Linked DNA regions of Struthio camelus. The protein of the gene in region 3 interacts with the protein of the main gene of each other region in a pairwise test. Links are inferred from orthologs where the notes say so. Each region holds a gene or a part of one and is shown on either strand. Other genes may lie near its edges.

Region 1 (8,021 bases), on a different chromosome or scaffold from region 3:
TCAAACTATTTATTTTTATTTTTTGTGCACACTGAACTTCATCACTGCTTCTGCTTACAGCCCTTTAGCTAACCTAAAGAAAACACAGGAAGAACAATGGCTACTGCTATTTCTGTAATGAAGTTTTTAAGTGTGCATTTATTTTGCCATTTTTTTCTCAGTAAAAAAAAAAAAGGTAAAAAAAATAGTAAATATAGGTTTGCTATTGTATAATTTACTTTTCAAGCAGTTGCATGTATTTCTTAGTGATGGTTGCCTTTTCTGTGTGCATAGAGGTCTGGAACACTGAAAACAGTGTTACAGAGATGTTTTTCAGTGGAACATCCAAAAAGGGCCCAAGAGATCTAAGCACCCAGTTTCTAAAAACCCTAGCTAGCCAGTGCTTCTTTCTTTTATCTCTGTGTTGCTCCCTCCCCTTCCCCAGTATTTTGGCTTAGATGGCTGCTAACTCTCAAGGCAACCTTTTCCACCCCCCTGTTCCTCCCATGATCTCCAAGGGAAAACCAGCAAATCCTTCTAAGCCCAGGGGAAAAAAATTAGAGCTTTGGCTGCATGCAGTGGAGTTCAAACTCTGCAAAAACACTTGTGAGACTGGCGAACCTCAAATCGCCAATCAAAGCACAAACATGTAATTCCTAACTCCAACTTTTGTTTAAAGTTGGACTACTTTCTGTTCTGCATCATATAGGAATAAATTCCCCAATTCAGTGTGTATTTGAGTGTTTCTGATGCTAATTTACATCAGTGTAAGTGAGGACTGGAATAGCTGTGTTGGGACTGTGACAATAATACCAATTGGGCTGAGGGAAACTTAAGGTATTGCTTAGATTATTTTCCGATAATAGGGTCCAGAGGCTGGAAATGGAGATCTCTTCCAGATGTCATCTTCCATGTTAAAGCAACTCGTGTGCCTGGAGGGAGCGGTCACAACAACAGCATGTATCTTTGCAAGGCAAGGCTCCAATGTCTCACCCTATTTTTTGCTGTGACATCAGAATGCTGAGGCTTTTGTCTTTGGATTGGACCACTAAAGGTATGATAGTAAAAGCTATGTGCAACACTTCTGAAGCAACTGTTGGTAGCAGTTATTAAATGCGTCTCTGCTAGTTCAGTGTCCTGCAGCTGGCTGCTCTCAAAGCTTGGCAAACTGAAAGATGGTTGGCTTCAGTAGATCACTCGGATGCCTGGCAGGCCTTCCGTGCTCCTGCTAACTTTCCCTACTTGCTTTTGTATCTGTCATCAATTCTGAGTATGAGAAGTATTGTGGTGTGGGGTTTTTTGTTTTGTTTTAATGTAGGATGGAGTATGGAAAAAGAAGAATTTTAGTCTTGGAAAATCCAGGTTAAATCTTGCTAATTGTCAAACAAAAACAACAATTGCATTGTCTCATTTTGTCTCAAGCAATTAAGAAGTCAATGAGTCTAATGAAAAAAATTAATTTTTTCTGTGTTTAAAATCTGCACCGTAATACTCTTTATTGGCTTTTATTCTAGATGTGGCATAACCTAAGCATGTTACCAGCACTGCCTTTTTATAGGGACTTCCTTTCAAAATGAGAACAGCCTTTTTAAAACGATCAGAATAGTTCTTGCCTTTAAACAGAGGAAATGCATGCAAACTAACAACCAGCATATTGCTTCAAATGCTCAGCCAGCCAGTCAGGAAAACGAAGATTCAAAGATATTGCTGAAATTAATCACTTAACTGAAAGATTAGACAGCAGTCTTTTTTGTATTCATATTTGTTTTAATATTCTGTTCTTTGAAACTTAATAGATTCTGAAGTGTCTCTAATTTTAGCCTAAATTTACAGAACAATCCCAACAGTATTTCACTACTCAGATGCTTCTTATTGTAATACGTAATTGAAGTCTGGGACTCTAAAAGGCAAAACATATTATTTCCATACAGCTTTCATGTCCAAACCATAATTTCATTGTTTTCATTTTGGGCCTTTTCTCTTCTTGCTCACACATGCGCTTTTCCTTAGCCCAGCAGGCAAGGTCTGGCAAACAGCTTCACAAAGCAATATGCCCAACAAACCTCCCTTAAAACCTGAAGCTGGATATGAAACCCTTATTTTGGGACAAAATGTATATATACAGCCAAACTTGCTCCAAACTCTTCAGGATCTGATAAAAGCATTTTCAACTTAATTTTCTTAACTTAGAAATGACTTAATTACATGCTGAATCGGGGCACTGCTCCTCAGACATCCTTCTCCCTTCCACGCTCAGAGGCCTGGTCGGTTAAACTCTGTCCCTCTGTAACAGCGCAGTCACTGTCCCACCTGCTCCACCTCTGTGGTCTGCAGATCCTGTTACTGTGCATCCCAAGAAAAGCTTTTATAATATAGCTGGTTAAACAAAAATATGTTTTAAAGCAAGGCAGAAACATAGAGAAATACACAGTCCGTTACTTACCCCACACTAAGCAAACTGTTGAGGCATTCTTGACAAGTTAATGTTTTATTTTCTTCTGTCACTTAAAGTTACCCTCTCTAATTAAAAAAAAGTGTCCTTTATCTTTGCTTTCCAAGCTGCTACACTTCTCACTTCAAGTGGGAAAAAAAAACGGAAAAAAACAAAAAAAAAAGTTTCTTGTTGGTTCATGTTACAACCTCCCAGTGTCAATCATGTAGGCTGAGACCAGGGAAGGGGTGTGGGGGGGGAAAGGCACATGCTGCCGCCTTTTAACTTGCCAGCCTGCTGTTCCTGTCCATCCTTAGCTAGCCCCAGAGCTGTAGACACTTACCTCTGTCCTGTAATGCTAGCCTCGAAGTGAAAGAACCGAAAATGAGTTCAGTCCTATTCCACAACCTCTGTGAAGCTTTGGCGGAGAAAAGGGTGAGCGCTAGATTATCAGGCACAAACATGCTCCAACTGCCATCTTCGTTCCAACCGCTTAATTTTGCTGCTTTTTTTTTTTCTTCTCTAAAACAGGAAATGTATAAGCCACAGTGCCTAACCCTGGTTCCTGTCTCTGCTCTGAGTTTGTAGCATAGGAGAAAATGCTGCTAGGTGCAAGGCAGTGCTGGGGCCTGGCTCAGTATGAGATTTGGGTTATGTTGTGATGCGAGAGGCTGCAATTTCACTGTTAGGGCCAGCAACTACCTTCTGGGCTATCTTTCTTTATCAGTCTCTGACACTCTGAGGTTGAGTGCTGGTGCAAGGAGTTGTTTGTGGCGCATCGTGACTGAATCTTTCCAAGCTGCTTTGAGTAAAGAATGCAGACTTAGGGAAGTACAGTAATGCTATTATTTTAAGGCTTCTTGTAGATTGGAAAAAGTGTATTTTAGCAGCTGAGGAAAGGTCACGAATGGCAGAAATTCATCAAGGTCTTTACAGAGAAGTGAAAGCTGTGTTAATGCAAATCATGTAGAGAGGTTGGTTTAACCAGCTGTGCACTGGTAAAGGTTGTTTGTATATTCATGTGGAAGAGGAGCAACAATAAAAGTATATTATAAAGTAATATGAGATTTCTTTTCTAAAGACCAACCTAGAATGGGTACATGACCAAAAAAATCCAATTCAAAGACCCTCTTGTATAGCTTTGTCTGTGAGGTTCATGCAGTTCAGCCTAAATCCCTATTTGGAATGAACTGAGGCCCCTTTCCCCTTTGCTTATTAACCATGTGGCTCCCCTTTATAATCCTGTTCCCCATGCCCCCAATCTAAATCTTTTTTGTTAATTTTTTAATATAGCTTTGACCAGGTCACTAAGGTATTAAATTTTTCAGTCAAGCTCCTATGAGTCTCCTTGTCTTTCCTGCAGAAACACTGGAGTATGGCTTGTGGGTTCAGCTCTCTTTCACGTTAATTGCCTTTTACTTAATCTCTTCTTCTGTGACAGGGATGTGATAAAATGAAGGGAAAATATACGGCAAAAGCATATACAAATATCAGAAGGCCCAGGATCCTAGTTTGTATACTTCTCAAAACATTTTAAGTTTTAATGACTTGCAGGTTTTCTAGTGAGGGAATAGTTTCTAGACGTTGAACTGCAGTAAGGCACAAAGCTTAACTTTATTCAGGCTGGAGTGGCCAGCTGCCAGCAGAGAAAATCCACTGATAGGGAAATTCTGCTGTCAGTACACTTTTCTGAATTGTTTATTGATCAGAAAAAGCTAGTTACAAGAATTTGTTACTAAAACAGACATTTGCATGCTGTGTCATAGATTTCTGATATGCCTTCTCTTAAATTGACAGCTTTGAGGAGGCCCTGTGTTCCCCGGCCATGTTGCTTTCAGAAAAGGTCCATGCGCAACATCATAGGGCGGGATTTTTTTTTTTTTAAACATCTGTATGAGTGGGGACACAACTGCTCAGATGTATCACTGTGAAGCCACTCTGGTGACATAGCAAACAGCACCCAGAATAGCTGGATTAATACCAAAATCGTGTGTCCTGCACAATGTTCCGCTGTGTTCCTGTGGCCTCATGCTGACATGCTTGCTGCCTTAGGAGGATCCACTGTGTCCTATAGCTACTTTTTTTTGATATTTTCCACTTTAAACTTGTTTCTTATGAGAGAATCAAGGAAGTCTGGAGCCCAGTCTCGAAGGAAGAGCAGACTCCTCATGGTTGAGTATGGATAGTATAGCTCTCGCTGGCGCAGTGCTCCGCTCTTGATGATCTCCAGCGCGCACTCCTCCTTTGGTGCGGCTGTCCCACGAATCGCATGGGGAATGGTTTTCATAGCACTTTCTAGAGAGAGGAGAGCAAGAAAAAGTGATGTCAGATGGAGGGAGGCTGCAACAGGTACTAGAGGCTCAAAGTTCAGAGGTATCCATGGCTTCATTTAACAAACTAATAGAAATGCTGGGGATCAGGTTTATTTCCTAAAGTTTAGAATATGTACAAAATTACAGTAATATCCTTCCCATGCCTTTCCAACTCTCAACTAATTCTAGAACCAAATCCCCATCTCCCCTGAGTTTATTACAAGGATAGTTGAGTCAAAGGTCTGGGACCGCTTTTTTTTTTTTTTTTTTTTTTTTTTTTTTTTTAAATGTTGAGCTCCTGTTTCCAAAATTGTGCCGCCACTTAAGGGCTGAGGTTTCAGCAGTGCTGGGGAAGTAGAATACTGGCAGATCTGGAGTGCTTTCTTCTGTCTAAAATGCCTTTTCTGACTTAGCAATGGGTGTGCACAGCTCCTAAATAGTGAGGCCTAGATAAATGTCAAACTTACCAGTATCAATGAGGCCCAGGACACAGAGTGTGATGGAAACATTGACATTGTCAGTGATGAATTCCTGTCGCAAGGAGCTGAAAAATCCATCTAAGGCAAACTTGGTTGCAGAATAGGGAGCAATAAATGGTATGCCAACTTTACCTGGGATGGGAGGCAGAACGTCAGTGTTCACATATTGCACCAGAGTACTGTCCTTGGAGTAGCTAAAATATTTAGATTTAGAGTGACTAAGTGATCTATTCTGAGTACTTGAGAGAAATAAATATATGAAAGGATGTTTAAAATGAGGAGGAGAGAAACAAAAGTTTTCCTAACTTAATTTTCCTGTAGCATGTGACATATAGTGACATGAAGTACATTCAGTTGTAGGTGATACTGTTCTTCCGTTCCTGCATTACGCATCCATGTGTAGCAAATGCATAATAAATGGCCATGCACATAAATAACATGCAGTGGCATACCATCAACTGTAATGCATAGTATTTTTCTTAGTTTGAAAGTTAGATTTAATGCTGAAGGTATGCTGCTGTGATAGGCCCATCAGTTTTGTGTAGTCCTTGGCCTTTATCAGAGAATGCTTTCAAGGCAGGTTTTGTTGCTTTGATGTTAAGAAAGAACCGACGTATAACATCTGTCTTCAGCATTTGCTATCGCTGCTTAGCAAGATGTGGGTTTTAGCAGCCCCTCCCTGAACTTCCTGTCTCTGGGCTTAGAGGTACAGCTCCAGCTGTGCACCCTTCATGGATGCCTGTGGAGCTGCAGGAAAGAGAGATGACTTGCATAGTTTTTAATCTTCTCATCCCAGGTTTTGGCAGGAAGTTCAGCTAACTGCAAACATAGGACCTCAGGAGTGTGTATCCCTCCTTCATGGAGAAGACAGTGGGTAGGTTGAGGAAGAATGGGGTGTAAACTATAAGTTTTCCAGATGACTTAACTTGCACACTGGGTGCACAATATATACAGATTCCAATCCCAGCCAGATAACTTCCTGCCTTATGGTCCTTATTCCCTCCTTTGAGGAAAAGCTGCAGATGGGATCCCTTGCAGGCAGTGGAAGAGGCTTAAAATCGGAGAAGAGCGTGGCACTGGCTGCCCTGGGACTCCCTAGCCTGTCTCGTGCTCACCTGCCATGGATGAAACGACAACAATGCTGCCATTGCTGCTCTTTAGCATTGGTAGGGCAGAAACAGTCATGGCCACGTAGCTGAGGAAGTTGGTCTCTAGGAGCTTTCGTATGTGTCCGACATCCCCATTGAAGTAATTGAGATAGCTGTGACCGACGTGGTTTAAGATAACCATGTCAAGGCCTCCTGGAAGCAGAACATGTTTGTTATGGGCAACTTGCATCCTCAAAACAAAAGCCTTTACTTGTTGGCTAGAACACCTTGAAACATAACTTGAGCAAGGGGGGTGTTGGAGGTTAATGAGGAAAAGGCAGATCCCACCACATACCCCAGGCTGTCTCAGCCTCTTTCACCACCTCCTTGGCAAATGCTGTTTTCTCCATGCTGCCACTCACATAGCGAGCAGATGCTGCACCCAGCTTGAGGCAACGCTCCACAACCTGTGACGGCAGTGAGAACAGTGTTAGACACAGGTACTCCTGTGTCAGCTCCCAGCATCCTGCAAATGCTGTAAGCTGTCTTTTGGGCCAGATAGGAAGAGCATGTCTTTCTGCCCATTGGTAACTGTTTTGACTTCATGGGAGGAGATGTATTGCTCATATAATTGTTTCTGGCTGCAATGAGTTAAACAGTGGCACATCTGAGCCAAATATTTAGTGTTTATAGAAGATACTGAAAAGGGATATGACTGCTTAGTTGATTCTGTTGCATACTGGGAACCAAAACAATTCAGACTTTGACAACCATAAGGGTTGATCAGACCAAGATCTGGGCAGCCTAGTATTGTCCTTGGTGGTGATCAGCGTCTAAAACTGCAGACTGTGGAGAAAAATGCTGTGCTGTCAGCATTGAAAATACAATCTAAAATGGTGTGAGGAGTTCCCCAGGTTCATGCTGGGGAAAATGGAACAGCGAATCTCTATGGTATCTGGCATCCTCATGTGCTCTGGATAGGGTGAACATCCATGCACTTTTTACCTGTGGGATTCTGGATTGTAAAACTTAGTCTACTTGATGTTATGGTGGCTGGGCACCTTGGGAGTGCTCTGTTTTGCATTTACTTTCTGCAACTTGGCCTCCGTCCGTGCTGTGATCAGGATATGGGACCTCATGCGTGCCAGGTGATAAGCCATCTGCTCTCCGATTCCACTGCTGGCGCCTGTGATGATGACCCGTTTCCCTCTGAGCATCTCTAGAGAGTAGGACACAGCATCAGACCCCTAGTGCAGGCCCATGCTGTGCCTGGCAGCCCCATGAGCCAGAGTGTTAGTTCTCCAAAGCCCTTGAGAGCAGAGTCTCCTCTCAGCCTATTTCACCTTTGTTCCCAGATAAAGGGATCAGGGAAGCTACACGCAGAAACACTGCACTACTGTAACATGCAGCTGCTCTCACAAACCCAGAGTGGAATTTGCTCCTTAATCCTTGTCTGAACTGGAGTGCACGAGAGATCTAAGCTCTGCGGTCCATTCTGTGAGTAAATTTAAAAGATGACTAGGGTTTGACTAAGGAAAGGATTAAACATTTAAAATGGATAAATGCATATTTTCAGACAAATTCATTTGCTGAAATCAAACACTTACCATGTGATCCTAGCAGAGCCCAACCGAAATCCTGTGAGTTTCTCCTAGATGGTGCAGCATGCTCTGAACAGTTGCACTGTGCTATTGCCTTTGCCAAAATTCCCCTTGACAAGCTCTCATCCATC
Region 2 (7,823 bases), on a different chromosome or scaffold from region 3:
TGAATTATTTCCGATTAATAGAATGAATGAAGATCATCCTTAGTGTTAGTAGCAGCCTTATTGTGATTGATTCTTTTATCTTAATTGCTAAGGCTTTCAAATCTAGGTAAACATTCTGGATTACTACAGAAGAGGCCTGCCTTTCAGGCCATGGTAAATCCCTGTTATCTTCAAATCTTGATTGTTCTAGCCTGCCTCTTACCCTGTGGACGTTATTCTTTTAAAAATCCAATGTTACCTTTGTACTACTCCACGAGTAGTTAACAGAGTTTCCAGAGCCTTGACAGGAACACCAGTATTCAATGTTTCCTGTAGATCTCGTTCTGGACCACAGCAGTCTGGCACTCTGCTGTATTTCTTTTTAGCATTCATATTGCTGTTGTTGTCCTTCCCTCATTCTCTCCCTACATGTTCAATAGCAACTATACTATCAGCTTCTGTTGTCCATGACAAACAGTAAACTAAAGAGAATAGAATTTTCTGTTGCTGTGAAGATTCCTTCTGCTCTTCCTGGTTTCGCTATATAGGAATAGACCATACATTTCCAGAAGTCCTGTCAATTCCTTTCTGTTTGCTGCTATTGTAGTCTCGAGTTCTTTTGCTAGCTTGCTAGCTATTCTACAGAGGTATTGGAGAATACCTTTTCAGTTGACTCCTCTTTAGCTTAGTGTTTCTGTATTTAATAATTGGCCCCTTCCCTTCTGCTTTTCAATTTCATCTTCTAAGATGATATCCTGCTGTTACTTGAAATAGCTGGGAACTGGACTCTATCAAGCCAACAGATCTTATGTTCCTAAATGCAGCGCATCCATTAAGACATAATGTCAATCAGAAAAAAGGAAAAAACCCACAAGAAATTAAAAGCTTTTGACTCCACTTACTGAACAGTCCCTAGTGCTCTTGAGTGGTGTGGTTTGTAGACAGAGTTTCTGCAGCATCTGCTTTCGTAGTACTGACACGCTGAGTTCTCCCCACCACAGCAGTAGTATTTACAGTCTGGGTCATTTGAACAAGAGCAGCAGCACCACCAGCAATTTGCATGCTCTGCACATGAGCAGTGGCAACACTGGCAGGGTGCATCTTCTGCATACGGACATGGGAAACAGCTGCAGTTCCGCTCATTGGTAAATAAGAAGCGCCAGCACAAACAGCATCCTTCGCTTCTGCTGTGGCAAGTCAGGTAACAGCAGCAGCAGTTTGAGCAGCATGGGTGGATTAAACAGGGACGTTCACTTTTGGCCATCACTCTATCAGACACTTAGAAGAAAGTTCATTAATCTTCTCAGCTTCTCCTCACACTACAGCTTTACAGCAATTTGGCTCTCAAGAAGGCTTGCGGTTTGATTGTTGGGTCAAGCTCCGTGCTGTGAAAACGTTCTAATGTCCTGTTCTAACTGGAACAGAATAAGGATGTCACAGTGACACATTCAAATAAGGACACAGGCAGAATCTCACACACATAGAGCTGACACACTGATGGCATCATCTGTACATCACAGTAACTATAATCATTCTTCCTGAATTTCTTGAAAACATCTACCTCATTCTCCATTAATCGCATAGGCAGCTTACACACCTAGATATCCTAAGGCAACCATGTTCTTAAGACAACACACTTACTTTATAGACATTTCATTGGCTAAGTTGGGTGCCATAAGTGAATGACCTGAATCAGGCCCTAATCAGCTATAGTGAGATTTTTCATCAAACCTTCATAAGACGTTAAGCATAACACATGAAAGAACTAAGATTCATGCATCTGGAAGCATTTCCCTGTAACTGTCCTTATTATAAGCCTTTGTTTGCCAGCGTTTGTGCTCTTGAACAATGTATGCCGTTCGTTCCCTCAAGGCCTAAGGAAAGGAACTAAACTTGGGTTGTAGGTTCAGTACTATTGCTCATTCACTGTGGACCTGCCTTCTTTCCTGAAGTCCAAGTGTGTTTCCTGTCCTTCCTTAAACTCACCACTCTCCTGTAAGTGCCCCACTCTCCTATAAATGCAATATTAGACATCATATTTTAGTTATTCTTTAGTTACCTCATATTAAGCACCTTCTGCCTTAATTTAGGTGACCTACTCCAAGATTTAAATAGCATTTTATATCTGTTTACAGGGATAATAATTTTGAATAAAAATTAAGTTATTGTAAAGTATGTATAAGCTTCTCAGTATGCTAGTAGCTTACTGTAATGCAGATATATAAAAAAAGAAAATCCATCCTCTAGGAGTCACCTGTGACAGACAGCTAAAACAGCTTATTCTCTTACTTGAAACTGTAAAGAATAGTGGTGTCTATATGGTACATTTTCAAGAATACTTACTTTTAATTGTGGCCTCTGTACTGTAGGTTGCTAAGAGCTTCTTTAGCAAATCAGCTTGTGTTAATGGGTTAATGTATAACTGTGAGTTACTAAGATAGGTCTTGACATAGTTTATTGTAACAGCTCCTCTGAGCCTCTTTGCTCAGTCTGTTCTGCCTAGAGAAATTTTAATTCACTGATCCAGAGCCCTATGGACCATAATGGCTGTGTCATTATGGGTAGCTATTTACATGATGGGCCATAATAGGTCCTTTGGAATGGTTATGCCTATTGTGTCAAGGGGGTTTTCATGCATAAGCACTAGATCTGTGCGCTAAAATTCTTTCCATAGTAAAACCTGTACCTTTAGTGGATGATAGTTACTCCATTTGTCTTTCCAGTTTAATCAAAGGTAATACGCTTTTTATTTTGCATGTTTAATTTTAGAAGATGAAAACACTTTTGAATTCAATTAATCGGTAGAAAAAAAGGTATCTTGTGATGCTTGTCTGCTTTTCTTTTCCAAAATGCAAGCATTCTTATATCCTTTTTTGAGAAAGGAGAGGTGGAGGAGTAAAGAAAAAAAAAAGGAAACAGATCTTAGTCCTGTGTATCACATTTTAGATCAGAGCAAACGTTAATGGCCAAGTTTTAGCAGCTGGTGCCTATGGCTCTCTTTTCCATCTCTACACAATGCAGCTGTTCAGAGTACCTTCTTCATCTATCATTCTGAGCAACACCTTTTTTTTTTTTTTTAGTGTTTTTTCTATGAGTTGTGTTTTTCCACTGGGCCTTGAACTTGTTTGTCCCCACCTCCCCATATAATTCCCGTAGCTTTAGTGGTCAAATTCTTGCGTTAGCAAAACTACTCTCACCATCGGCCTCATTCCTTTGCAGCTCCCAGTATAGGTGACCCTCTCTGAGTCTATCTATGAACGTGCAGACAGTTCTGAAATGATCCCATTTCATTAGTATGTTTATTCTCCTCTAACAGATACTGAAAGATCAAATCAGTCTGGCTGCCAGAGAAACTGAATTAGATGCAACAGCTGCAGCCAAACTGACGGACTTTTAATAGTGTTTGCAAACATGCTCCCCTCTGCCCCCACCTCTGTTGTGGTTGGGTCTGGCTGTCATTTTCATCACAGTTCTCAAGACAGCCAGGCTCAGATGTGGTTGGCTTCATCAACAAACGAGCCTGACCCTGCAAGGTGTTGAGTCTCTTAGGCCTTGTTATGATATATGGCCATTACCCTAGTGCTCAAGGAAAGCCAAGAAGAGAGAGAGAAATAAAAAAGGAAAAAGAAAAGCACAGTACGGTGAAGACACAGGTCAGTTTCCATTACTTCATATTAGTTACATATAGTCACTTGTGTTGTACTTCCGTTAGCTGTCAAATAATATAATCTAATATTTTTCACTTGGCAGCTTATCCTATTTAGTTGTGTTTTTCAAGATAAGCCTAAGATTGTTGTCTTTTTTTTCTTTCTTCTCCCTTTTGCTCTACCTCCAGATATCTCTGTGATATTTCTAACGTTAGTATTTCTAACTCAAATTCTAGAATGCACAATGATTAGTAATGTACAAAAAGTTGGAAGAAAGACCATATGCCATTTGTAGCTTACTCCTTAACTAGTGTGTATAGTAACACACTATGATATGAATCTGGGTTTCATCGGTTGTCTCCTTCTCACCTGAGAACTGGATTGTGTATAGCATCTTCTTAGACTTTTATTCACTGGAGAGGAGAACAGACGTGAATATGTGTATTGCTCCATCATTGGTGGAAAATAATAATGAAATGTCATGGACACGTTCCTCACCACTCACATTTCAGGTATCAGCGGGTTTGTTAAGGTCTTAGTTGTGTTTTGTCACTACAATGAAGGGGAAAGCTAGGTTCTCCTGTATTACCCCAACCCTATCTTTAACGTCCTGAATGTAATTTCTCTGTTAAATTATTTATTCCTCTTACGATGAGTATGGTGAGGCACCTCATGTCTGTGCTCTTAGTAAGCTTATTGTCTTGCAGTTCTTCGTCCTTTCACCAACTCAAAAAATAAGGGAGAATGAAGGAAACCTGTCTCTTGCTTGCATCCTTACTTCACGCAAGAATATAAAGTAAGCACTGTCTCAGCAACTTGGAAAATTTAACTTTGGCTGCCTTCACGCACTGCCAGAGAGGTAAAGCAAGCTCGTGAGTCAGGGAGAGGAGGAAGAGGGACTGCTACCTTACTGTCCTTCCTATAAAACTATGTAGCCCAGCAGGATTCTCTCTCTAAAGGGTATAGCAGCTCTTTATCAATAAAATGAAGTGATTGAGGTGAATTGACTGCAGCACATGGCAATGTCTGCTTTGGGGGTCTTAAAGAATGAAATATAAAAAGCCTGACGTTATACACCCTAAAACGGAGGCACTCAGAACTGAGAGTCACTTCTCAAAGCATTATTTCTGGTTAGCTGTGGCTTTGCCCGCAGCAACCAGCAACAGAATGGCAAAAAGACTGTCCCTTTTCTCGTAAGAAGACTCCCAGTTTCTAGTTCATTGTTTCCAGCATCACTTTACAACAGGTATATCTGTTAGAGGGCAATTCCCTAGTGATGGGACAGCCTAGGAAATAGTGGGGTTTACAGTATTAGCTTTTTTCTTGCTTTGTAGAGCTTCATTGCCTCTCCATAATTCAACCCTTCATCTCTAGCCAAATGGCTACCCTTATGTTCCAAGCCACAGAAATATTTGGATGGCTTCTTTTGAAAAAGGCAGAGTTGAAATATTAATCTCTCCACAGTTGCTCTCTGCCTTTCTTCAGCAGAAAATTTGAGAGGGCTCAGCTGCTATGGAGGCAGACCGGTGACAGCAGCTAGACCAGAGATGGGGGATGATGAGACAAAAAGATTAGCAGCCAGTAAAGCAAGAGAGTACATTGTGAGCTTTAGGCTCCTTCATCGCTCTAAAGCTGTGTAAGTATACCACGCTGAGCTCCATATGCCTATGGATAAAGAAGACAGAGGAAAAATGATGATAAATTTTCCTTCTACTGCTTTTTGCTAATGGATACAAGAAAGCATTATTTGATTTATGTATGTAGGACTACTCCATGGAAAAGGTAATACTAATGTACATCTAACAGTCATTCAAACTCTCTTTGACTTCAAAAGTGTTTCTGAATACTACACACTACAAAAATTACAAATGTTAGGATTGACTGGCAATGCGAAATACAGTATCTGCGGAGTACATTATCTGAGCCAGAGGGAAAACTAACAACAACGCCAGAGAAAAGGAATTGCTAATGACTTTTTGTGTTCTTCATTAAAAAGATTAACTGTGATCATGTAGTAACACAATTAACACCCGCAACATATAGTTACCAACTATGTAGAGTAAAATAAGAGAACAACAAGCTATGTTACTCTTAAGTAAATCTGTGTTTTCAAATTCTCTGGGCCTTATAAAATTCACCAAAGGAATAAAAAGAAGTATCTGGAATAATCAGAGGGCATTTAGGAGTTATTTTTAAGACTTCATGAAAAACATTGGAAAAGAAATTTAGAAGAAAATTAAGAATTTTAATTTTGGTATGTATGTAACATGCTGCTCAAAACAGATGCATTTCCCACAGACCAAGAACTTTCCAGTGATGCTGCGCCAGAGAAATAGTAGCATTTTATACCCCTTTGCACAGATCTCAGAGGTATACAGTGAAACGCTACAAAATGCTCCAGAGGATGTGTTTGTCATAGATGTTAAGAAACTGTAATAACATGCCGTTACTGCGGGTCAGCATGCATGGTCTTTCCCAACTCATTTCTTAGTCCTGTTACGTGCAGGCCTCTTGGCTTTATGTGTTAACAGTCACAACGTGAGGCCTGTCATTCGGTGGAACAAATGAAAGTTCAGGCATTTCACAGAATGACTGGAAATACTAGGTATGTATTATGCGTATCATTCAGTCCCTGCTCTCACAAGCAGACAGGGCATTAGTGGCAGCTGTTGCATTTATTTCTCGAACTGTGCACCACAGTGTCTGTCATGTCGGGGGTCTCCTGGGCAGGCCCTCGGGACTGGCCCGCCACGCAGGGGCAGTGTGGGGACCTCAGGCACCCCAACTGGCGCGCTCACCCGGCTGGCGGGTCCCCACCACAGCCCCCTGGCCGGGTCTCGAGAGGAGAGGTCTCGGAGCGCTTGGGGGACGGCAATTTTAGGGCTGCGCTAAATATCCCAGCACATCTCAGGAAAGGTACGGGCCTCATTGCCTCTCTGAGAGGGGCACAAGGTGGTCACAGCGCCACGAGGTCGTTCAGGCGGGCGCTTCGCCGTGCCCTGGGGCCGCCGGTCGCCGAGGCAACGGGGCGGCCGTTGGGCTCGCGAGCGGGCGGGACGGGGCGGCCGTTGGGCGCGCGCGGTGGGGGGGACGGGGCGGCCGTTGGGCGCGCGCGGCGGGGGGGACGGGGCGGCCGTTGGGCTCGCGAGCGGGCGGGACGGGGCGGCCGTTGGGCGCGCGCGGTGCTGGGGACGGGGCGGCCGTTGGGCGCGCGCGGTGGGGGGGACGGGGCGGCCGTTGGGCTCGCGAGCGGGCGGGACGGGGCGGCCGTTGGGCGCGCGCGGTGCTGGGGACGGGGCGGCCGTTGGGCGCGCGCGGTGGGGGGGACGGGGCGGCCGTTGGGCCCGCGGGCGAGCCGCCTGCTGCTGCGCGGATCGGAGTGTCTGAAATTTGGTCTCATCGTTCAGTTTTCGTCCTCTCTCCTTCTGGTAAGTTGGAGCGGCTGTCTGACTTTTGGGTATCGCAGCCTCGAGCCCCGTCTCCCCTTTCCCCTGTCGGTTTGGCTCCTAGCGTGCGCTTCGTCGCGGCCACCCCCGGGTTGCCCGAGCTCGGTGCGTCTTCGTTACCGTTTTGGCTCGCTCGAAGTTCCCTGCTGTTTGCTCTGCCTCGGCCGTTTTTCCTGGGGCTGTGACTTTTTTCGAGCTGGGCTGGTTCCCAGAGTAAGGATGTTCATCTCCTAACGGTGGGGTGGGTCTGTGTTGCTGCTGAGACTGCAGAAGAGAAACACAACCATCTTGGCTGAGTACTTTAGCTAGCAGAAATGTAGCAGCTGCAAACCAAGGAATTTAAAAATAAAGGCCATGATACATTAAAACGTGCCGGACTTTGCTGTGTAAAGGTGCTGTATAAAATACTTTATATGATTACTAATCAGTCAAACTTAGTGCTTATTTAAAGCAAATTTGCCTTTTCTGGTGCAAGAGCATAAATGGATAGTAACCAACCTTGTTAATTCCCAGTGTTTTCCCTGGTCGTTAGTGATTAGGTAATTTGGTGATCAGGCACTTGCCCTGTGCTTCAGGGAGCTGTCCCTGTTAGCATATCTGCTTTCCTGACCATAGCACGCAGCGTCTGCCTCACTTTTTAGCCTATTTTTCATTCTTGTATTGGTTCTCCGCTGCACGTCCTGATGACTCTCCTGATTAGTCTGGCTCTAAGCGGTAGCTGGCTTATTAGGAGGTCTAGCGGAGCAGTGAA
Region 3 (7,260 bases):
GGGATGCTCCAGACCCATAGGGACCATTTGGGGAGAAGCTCCAGGCCCATAGGGACCAGCCAGGGATGCTCCAGACCCATAGGGACCATTTGGGGAGAAGCTCCAGGCCCATAGGGACCATGTGGGGAGACGCTACGTGCAGTGGGGAGGATGCTGGTCCCCGTGTCCCGCCCCAGGCCGCGTGGCGGGTGCCCTGGGGGTGCCCTGGGGGCGGGGGGCCGGTGGCGGGGGCCGGCGCTAGCCCGCTGCGGGTGCCGCAGGCTGCACCAGGTGTACTTCGTGGCCCCCACGTGCCAGGGCGCGGGGCAGGAGAAGGTCTTCCTGGTGGGCGACTACTCATCGGCGGCCGAGTTCTTCGTCACCGTGGCCGTCTTCGCCTTCCTCTACGCCCTGGGCGCCCTCGGCGTCTACCTCTTCCTCGACAGCAAGTACCGGGAGAACAACAAAGGGCCCGTCATCGTGAGTGGGGGCACCGGGAGGGTGGGGGACGTGGGGGGGACACGGCATGGGGGGCTTGGGGCATGGGGGGACAAGACACGGGGGGCTTGGGGACATGGGCATGGGGGCCACAGGGATGGGGGGGCTTGGGGATATGGGACAAGACATGGGGGGCTTGGGGACGTGGACATGGGGGGACGACACTGGGGGGCTTGGGGACATGGAAGATGTGGGGCAGGACATGGGGATGGGGCATGGGAACATGGACAAGAGATGGGCACAGGGACATGGGGATGGGGGGCAGAAGGATATGGGGGACATGGGGCAGCTGGGCACGAGGATGTGGGGACAGGGCAAGGGGGAGTGAAGAGGACATGACATGGGGGACAGGACGTGGGGGCACGGGGACGTGGGGGCACGGGGACGTGGGGGTGGGGGGGACATGACACGGGGGAGGTGGGACAGGACGTGGGACGGGGGGAGGTGGGACACGGGGACACGGGGGGCCGGTGGTGAGGGGCGCCCCCGCCGGCAGGACCTGGTGGCCACGGGGGTGCTGGCCTTCCTGTGGCTGGTGAGCTCCTGCGCCTGGGCCAAGGCGCTGGCCGACGTCAAGGAGGCGACGGCGCCCGCCGGCGTCCTGGCCGAGCTGCCGGGCTGCCAGCGCCCCGGCGCCCGCTGCCGCGGCCTGCGCGCCCCGCTCACCTCCGGCCTCAACACCTCCGTGGTGAGCCCCTATAGCCCCCTATAGCGCCCCTCGAGCCCCCCTACGGACCCCTCTCGTCCCCTATGGCCCTGTTGGGCTGCCAGCGTCCTGCTCCCCTCTGGACTCAACACCTCCGTGGTGAGCCCCTATAGCCCCCTATAGCGCCCCTCAAGCCCCCTACGGACCCCTATAACCCCCCCATGGGCCCCTACGGACCCCTATAGCCCCCTATGGCCCTGCTGGGTTGCCAGTGCCCCGCTCACCTCTGGCTCACCTCCGTGTTGAGCCCCTACGGACCCCTATGGTGCCCCTATAGCCCACTATGGTGCCACCGGGCTCCCCTGGGACCTATAGCCCCCCCCCCAAGCCCCCCACAGTGCTCCCGGGGGACCTATAGCACCCCTATGGTCCCTCATGGTGGTCCCCTGGGATCCTTGCAGCCTCCCCCCCACACACTGTAGCACCCTTGGGACCTATGGCCCCCACAGTGCTCCCCCAGGGTCTATAACACCCTTGGAGCCCCCCCATAGAGCTCCCCCCAGGACCTATAGCACCCCTATAGGCCCCCATAGCAGTGCTCCAGGACCTATAGCACCCCTAGAGCTCCTGCAGAGCCCCAGGACCTATAGCAGCCCCGCAGCCCCCCCCACCCCCTCCAGCCCCCCCGGTGCCCCATAGGCGGCCCCCTATAGCGCGGCCCCCCCCGCAGGTGTTCGGCTTCCTCAACCTGGTGCTGTGGACGGGCAACATCTGGTTCGTGTTCAAGGAGACGGGCTGGGGGGGCCCCTGGGGCCGCGGCCCCCCCGCGGGGGCCCCCGAGAAGCAGGCGGCCCCCGAGGGCTACGGCCCCGGCGGGGGGGGCTACGGGCAGCCCGAGGGCGGCTACGGGCAGCCCGGCGGCTACCAGCCCGACTACGGCCAGGGGGGCTACGGCCCGCCGGGGGGGTACGGCCAGCCCGAGGGGGGCTACGGCCAGGGCGCCCCCACCTCCTTCGCCAACCAGATGTAGGGTGAGTGGGGCTGCGGGGGGGGGCGCTGGGGTGCCCCACGTAGGGCTCTGGGGGGCAGTCGGGGGTGCCTGGGGGGGCTGGGGTGCCCCCATGGGGGTTTAGGGGGCAGTGGGGGGAGCTGGGGTGCTCCACGTAGGGGTCTGGGTGCCCCCATGGGGGTTTAGAGGGCATTGGGGGGGGCTGGGGTGCCCCACATAGGGGTCTGGGTGCCCCCATGGGGGTTTAGAGGGCATTGGGGGGGGCTGGGGTGCCCCACATAGGGGTCTGGGTGCCCCCATGGGGGTTTAGGGGGCATTGGGGGGAGCTGGGGTGCCCTACATAGGGGTCTGGGTGCCCCCATGGGGGTTTAGGGGGCATTGGGGGGAGGTGGGGTGCCCTACATAGGGGTCTGGGTGCCCCCATGGGGGTTTAGGGGGCAGTGGGGGGGGCAGGGGTGCCCCACGTAGGGGTCTGGGTGCCCCCATGGGGGTTTAGGGGGCGGGGGGGGCAGGGGTGCCCCACATAGGGCTCTGGGGGGCAGTCGGGGGTGCCTGGGGGGGCTGGGGTGCCCCCATGGGGGTTTAGGGGGCAGTGGGGGGGGCTGGGGTGCCCCACATAGGGGTCGGGGGTGCCCCCATGGGGGTTTAGGGGGCAGTGGGGGGGGCTGGGGTGCCCCACGTAGGGGTCTGGGTGCCCCCATGGGGGTTTAGGGGGCAGTGGGGGGAGCTGGGGTGCCCCACATAGGGCTCTGGGGGGCAGTCGGGGGTGCCTGGGGGGGCTGGGGTGCCCCCATGGGGGTTTAGGGGGCATTGGGGGGGGCTGGGGTGCACCACATAGGGGTCTGGGTGCCCCCATGGGGGTTTAGGGGGCAGTGGGGGGGGCTGGGGTGCCCCACGTAGGGCTCTGGGGGGCAGTCGGGGGTGCCTGGGGGGGCTGGGGTGCCCCCATGGGGGTTTAGGGGGCATTGGGGGGGGCTGGGGTGCACCACATAGGGGTCTGGGTGCCCCCATGGGGGTTTAGGGGACAGTGGGGGGGGCTGGGGTGCCCCACATAGGGGTCTTGGGGACAGTGGGGGGGGCTGGGGTGCCCCACATAGGGGTCGGGGGTGCCCCATGGGGGTTGGGGTGCCATGGGGGGCAGCCTTGGGGGGCTGGGGTGGCGTCGTGGGTCTGGGGTGCCCCACGGGGGTCGGGGTGCCGCCGTGGGTCGGGGTGCCACTGACGGCCTCTCTCCCGCAGGTCCCCCCCCGCAGCAGGGGGCGCCGAGCCCAGGAGCTGCCCTGGGGGGCAGGGGGCGGGGCCTATGGGGGCGGGGTGGCCCCGCCCCCTCTGTCTGCACCTATGGTGTCTGTGGGGCCTGCCCCATAGCCTGCCCCACAGCCCCGCGGCCTGCCCCATAGCCCTGTCCTTAGCCCCACGGCCTGCCCCATAGCCCTGCCCCATAGCCCTACAGCCTGCCCCCTTGCCCTGTGCCATAGCCTCGTGGCCGGCCCCACAACCCTGCCCCACGGCCTGCCCTGTGGCCTGCCCCGTAGCCGTGCCCCACGGCCTGCCCCACGGCCCCGTGGCCTGCCGCGCAGCCCTGCCCCACGGCCGTGCCGCCCCCCCTGCCCCCCAGCCCGGTGTCTGTCTTGTGCCGTGATCGTGACGTCTGGGGCCCCGGCGCCCCCCGGCCCGCCGTGGGGCAGGGTGGGGGGGGTGGGGGGGGGCGCGACCCGCCGGCCCCACGGAGGGAATAAACGAGGAGAAACGAGCCCGGCCCGCGTCCTCCTTGGGGGGGGTCTGCCCCACACGTGTGGGGCTGGGCTGGGGGGGGGGGCCGGGGCCCCCGCCCGGCAGGAGCCCAGGCGTCCGGGAGCCTCCCGTCCTCCTCACCCCGAATGGGCCCAGGCGTCCGGGCCCTGCCCTATATATGTGGGGGAGAGGGGGCTGCCCCATAGCGCCGGGTGGGCCCGGAGGGGCGTGGCCCCGCTGAGAGCACGCCCCTTGGTGGGCTTGGCCACGCCCCCGATAGGTTTGGCCCCGCCCCCGGCGTCCTGTCCGCGGCCTGGCGGGCTGACCCCGCCCCCCGCTCGAGCTGACCCCGCCCCCCGCTCGAGCTGACCCCGCCCCCGCTCGAGCTGGCCCCGCCCCCCGCGCGCTGGCCCCGCCCCCCTGAGTCACTTCCCTTCGCGCGCGCGGCCTGGACGCAGGAGCGAGGTACCGGGACCCCCGAGCGGCGCCGGGCCCGGCCCTCGGGGGGCCCCACGGCCCTGCCCCATAGCCCCGGGGGGCCCCGTCCCCCCACGGCCCTGCCCCATAGCCCCGGGGGCCCTGTCCCCCCACGGCCCTGCCCCATAGCCCCGGGGAGCCCCACGGCCCTGCCCCATAGCCCCGGGGGCCCCTGTCCCCCCACGGCCCTGCCCCATAGCCCCAGGGAGCCCCACGGCCCTGCCCCATAGCCCCGGGGGCCCTGTCCCCCCACGGCCCTGCCCCATAGCCCCGGGGAGCCCCACGGCCCTGCCCCATAGCCCCGGGGGGCCCTGTCCCCCCACGGCCCTGCCCCATAGCCCGGGGGGCCCCACGGCCCTGCCCCATAGCCCCGGGGGCCCCTGTCCCCCCACTGCCCTGCCCCATAGCCCCGGGGAGCCCCACGGCCCTGCCCCATAGCCCCGGGGGCCCCTGTCCCCCCACGGCCCTGCCCCATAGCCCCGGGGAGCCCCACGGCCCTGCCCCATAGCTCCGGGGGCCCCTGTCCCCCCACGGCCCTGCCCCATAGCCCCGGGGAGCCCCACGGCCCTGCCCCATAGCCCCGGGGGCCCCTGTCCCCCCACGGCCCTGCCCCATAGCCCCGGGGAGCCCCACGGCCCTGTCCCATAGCCCCGGGGGCCCCTGTCCCCCCACGGCCCTGCCCCATAGCCCCGGGGAGCCCCACGGCCCTGCCCCGTAGCCCCGGGGGCCCCTGTCCCCCCACGGCCCTGCCCCATAGCCCCGGGGAGCCCCACGGCCCTGCCCCATAGCCCCGGGGGCCCCTGTCCCCCCACTGCCCTGCCCCATAGCCCCGGGGGGGCCCATGTCTCCCCATGTCCCCTCATGTCCCTGCCCCATAGCCCCGGGTGGCCCCGTGGCCCTGTCCCATAGCTCCAGGGTGGCCCCATGTCCCCTCATGTCCCTGCCCCATAGCCCCGAGGGGGGCCTGTGTCCCCTCATGTCCCTGCCCCATAGCTGCAGCATGGCCCCCTCTCCCCCCACGTCCCCCACATCCCTGCCCCATAGCCCCGGGGGGGCCCCTGTCCCTGTCCCCTTCCCTGTCCCGCCAGCCGCCCCCCGTCCCCGTCCCGCAGCCTGCTCCGCGCCCGTCCCCCCGCGTGTCCCCGTGTCCCCCCACATCCCCCCCGCGTGTCCCCCCATCCCCGTGTCCCCCCACGTCCCCCCGGTGTCCCCACATCTCCATGTCCCCCCACGTCCCCCTGCGCGTCCCCACATCCCCGTGTCCCCCCATCCCCGTGTCCCCCTCGTGGGTCACCTCGTGTGTCCCTACGTCCCCATGTCCTTACATACCTGTGTCCCCCCGCATGTCCCCTCCGCGTGTCCCCACATCCATGTGTCCCCCGCCCCCGTGTCCCCCCACGTGTCCCCCCATGTGTCCCCACATCCCCGTGTCCCCCCGCGTCCCCCCGTCCCCGTGTCCCCCCGCGTCCCCACATCCCCGTGTCCCCCCGCGTGTCCCCCCGCGTGTCCCCCACGTCCCCGTGTCCCCCCGCGTGTCCCCACATCCCCGTGTCCCCCCGCATGTCCCCCACGTCCCCGTGTCCCCCCGCGTGTCCCCACATCCCCTTATCCCCCCGCGTGTCCCCCCGTCCCCGTGTCCCCCCGCGTGTCCCCCCACGTCCCCGTGTCCCCCCGCGTGTCCCCACATCCCCGTATCCCCCCGTGTGTCCCCCCGCGTCCCCGTGTCCCCCCGCGTGTCCCCCCGTGTGTCCCCCACGTCCCCGTGTCCCCCCGCGTGTCCCCACGTCCCCGTGTCCCCCCGCGTCCCCCGTCCCCGTGTCCCCCCGTGTCCCCACATCCCCTTATCCCCCCGCGTGTCCCCACATCCCCGTGTCCCCCCACGTGTCCCCCACGTCCCCGTGTCCCCCCACGTGTCCCCCCGTCCCCGTGTCCCCCCGCGTGTCCCCCGCGTCCCCGTGTCCCCCCGCGTGTCCCCCCGCGTGTCCCCCCACGTCCCCGTGTCCCCCCGCGTGTCCCCACATCCCCGTATCCCCCCGTGTGTCCCCCCGCGTCCCCGTGTCCCCCTGCGTGTCCCCCCGTGTGTCCCCCACGTCCCCGTGTCCCCCCGTGTGTCCCCCACGTCCCCGTGTCCCCCCACGTCCCCGTGTCCCCCCAGGCCATGCAGAGCTACCGGGGCCTCACGGACAAGGAGCTGCTGGAGAAGCTCAAGAGCTGCCGCATCCCGCACGGCCCCGTCGTGGGTGCGGGCCGGGGCGCGGGGGGCGCGGGGTGGGGGGGCCGGGCGTCCGGGGGGGGGGCCGGGGGGCTCCTGCGATGGGGCTCCTGGCCGTGGGGGGTGCCGTGGGGCAGGGGGTCCCAGGGGTCCTGACCCCCCGCCCCGGCCCCCCAGGCTCCACGCGGAAGCTGTACGAGAAGAAGGTCTACGAGTACGAGACGCAGCGGAGCCGCGTGGGGGGCGGCGGTGAGTGGGGGGGTCCTGGGGGGCTGGGGCAACCGGGGGGGGGCGTGGGGCACCCTGGGGGGCTCCGGGAGCCCAGGGGGGCAGTGGGGTCCTGGGGCGCTGGGGGACCGCAGGGGGGTAACTGGGGTCTTGGGGGGTCCCAGGGGGCTGGGGGGGCCACGGAGAGGTGGGGAGGGACCCCAGGGAGCTGTGGGGGGGCCATGGGGGGGCTCCGGGACCCCAGGGAGGCAGTGGGGTCCCAGGGGGGCAACTGGGGTCTTGGGGGGGCCACAGGGAGCCAGAGGATCCTGGGGGGACTGTGCAGGTCCCTGGGGGGTGTTGGGGGGCAGGGGGTCCTGAGGGGCCCCTGGGGGGCCAAAGGGACCCCGGGGGGGCAATGGGGCTCCCGGGGGGACACCACTCCCCCCAGTGACGCTGTGTCCCCCCAGACCCCGGCTCCTCGGAGACCTTCATGCA

Evidence for each region.
Region 1: the proteins of EMD (region 3) and TRAF3IP3 interact in binary tests that used the Homo sapiens proteins (3 or more experiments, as listed by UniProt). The two-hybrid records come from large-scale screens. The link is inferred for Struthio camelus from reciprocal best matches to the Homo sapiens genes EMD and TRAF3IP3.
Region 2: the proteins of EMD (region 3) and TRIM42 interact in binary tests that used the Homo sapiens proteins (3 or more experiments, as listed by UniProt). The two-hybrid records come from large-scale screens. The link is inferred for Struthio camelus from reciprocal best matches to the Homo sapiens genes EMD and TRIM42.

Annotation. Positions count from the first base shown.
Region 1 is NC_090965.1:8,845,868-8,853,888, reverse strand, and holds the start of TRAF3IP3 (TRAF3-interacting JNK-activating modulator), read right to left. Parts: upstream 3,095-8,021; 5' UTR 2,754-3,094; intron 2,560-2,753; exon of another isoform or gene 2,423-2,559; intron 2,323-2,422; 5' UTR 2,185-2,322; intron 1-2,184. Other genes in the region: 11-beta-hydroxysteroid dehydrogenase 1, read right to left, coding at 4,485-4,705, 5,190-5,333, 6,317-6,502, 6,645-6,756, 7,351-7,508, 7,897-8,020. UniProt on the Homo sapiens protein: Adapter protein that plays essential roles in both innate and adaptive immunity. Plays a crucial role in the regulation of thymocyte development.
Region 2 is NC_090950.1:10,498,136-10,505,958, reverse strand, and holds the start of TRIM42 (tripartite motif-containing protein 42), read right to left. Parts: upstream 3,030-7,823; coding exon 2,997-3,029; intron 1,211-2,996; coding exon 882-1,210; intron 1-881.
Region 3 is NC_090979.1:105,491-112,750, reverse strand, and holds the start of EMD (emerin), read left to right. Parts: upstream 1-4,258; 5' UTR 4,259-4,331; intron 4,332-6,498; 5' UTR 6,499-6,501; coding exon 6,502-6,583; intron 6,584-6,732; coding exon 6,733-6,804; intron 6,805-7,232; coding exon 7,233-7,260. Other genes in the region: SYP (synaptophysin), read left to right, coding at 261-459, 974-1,165, 1,854-2,153. UniProt on the Homo sapiens protein: Stabilizes and promotes the formation of a nuclear actin cortical network. Stimulates actin polymerization in vitro by binding and stabilizing the pointed end of growing filaments. Inhibits beta-catenin activity by preventing its accumulation in the nucleus.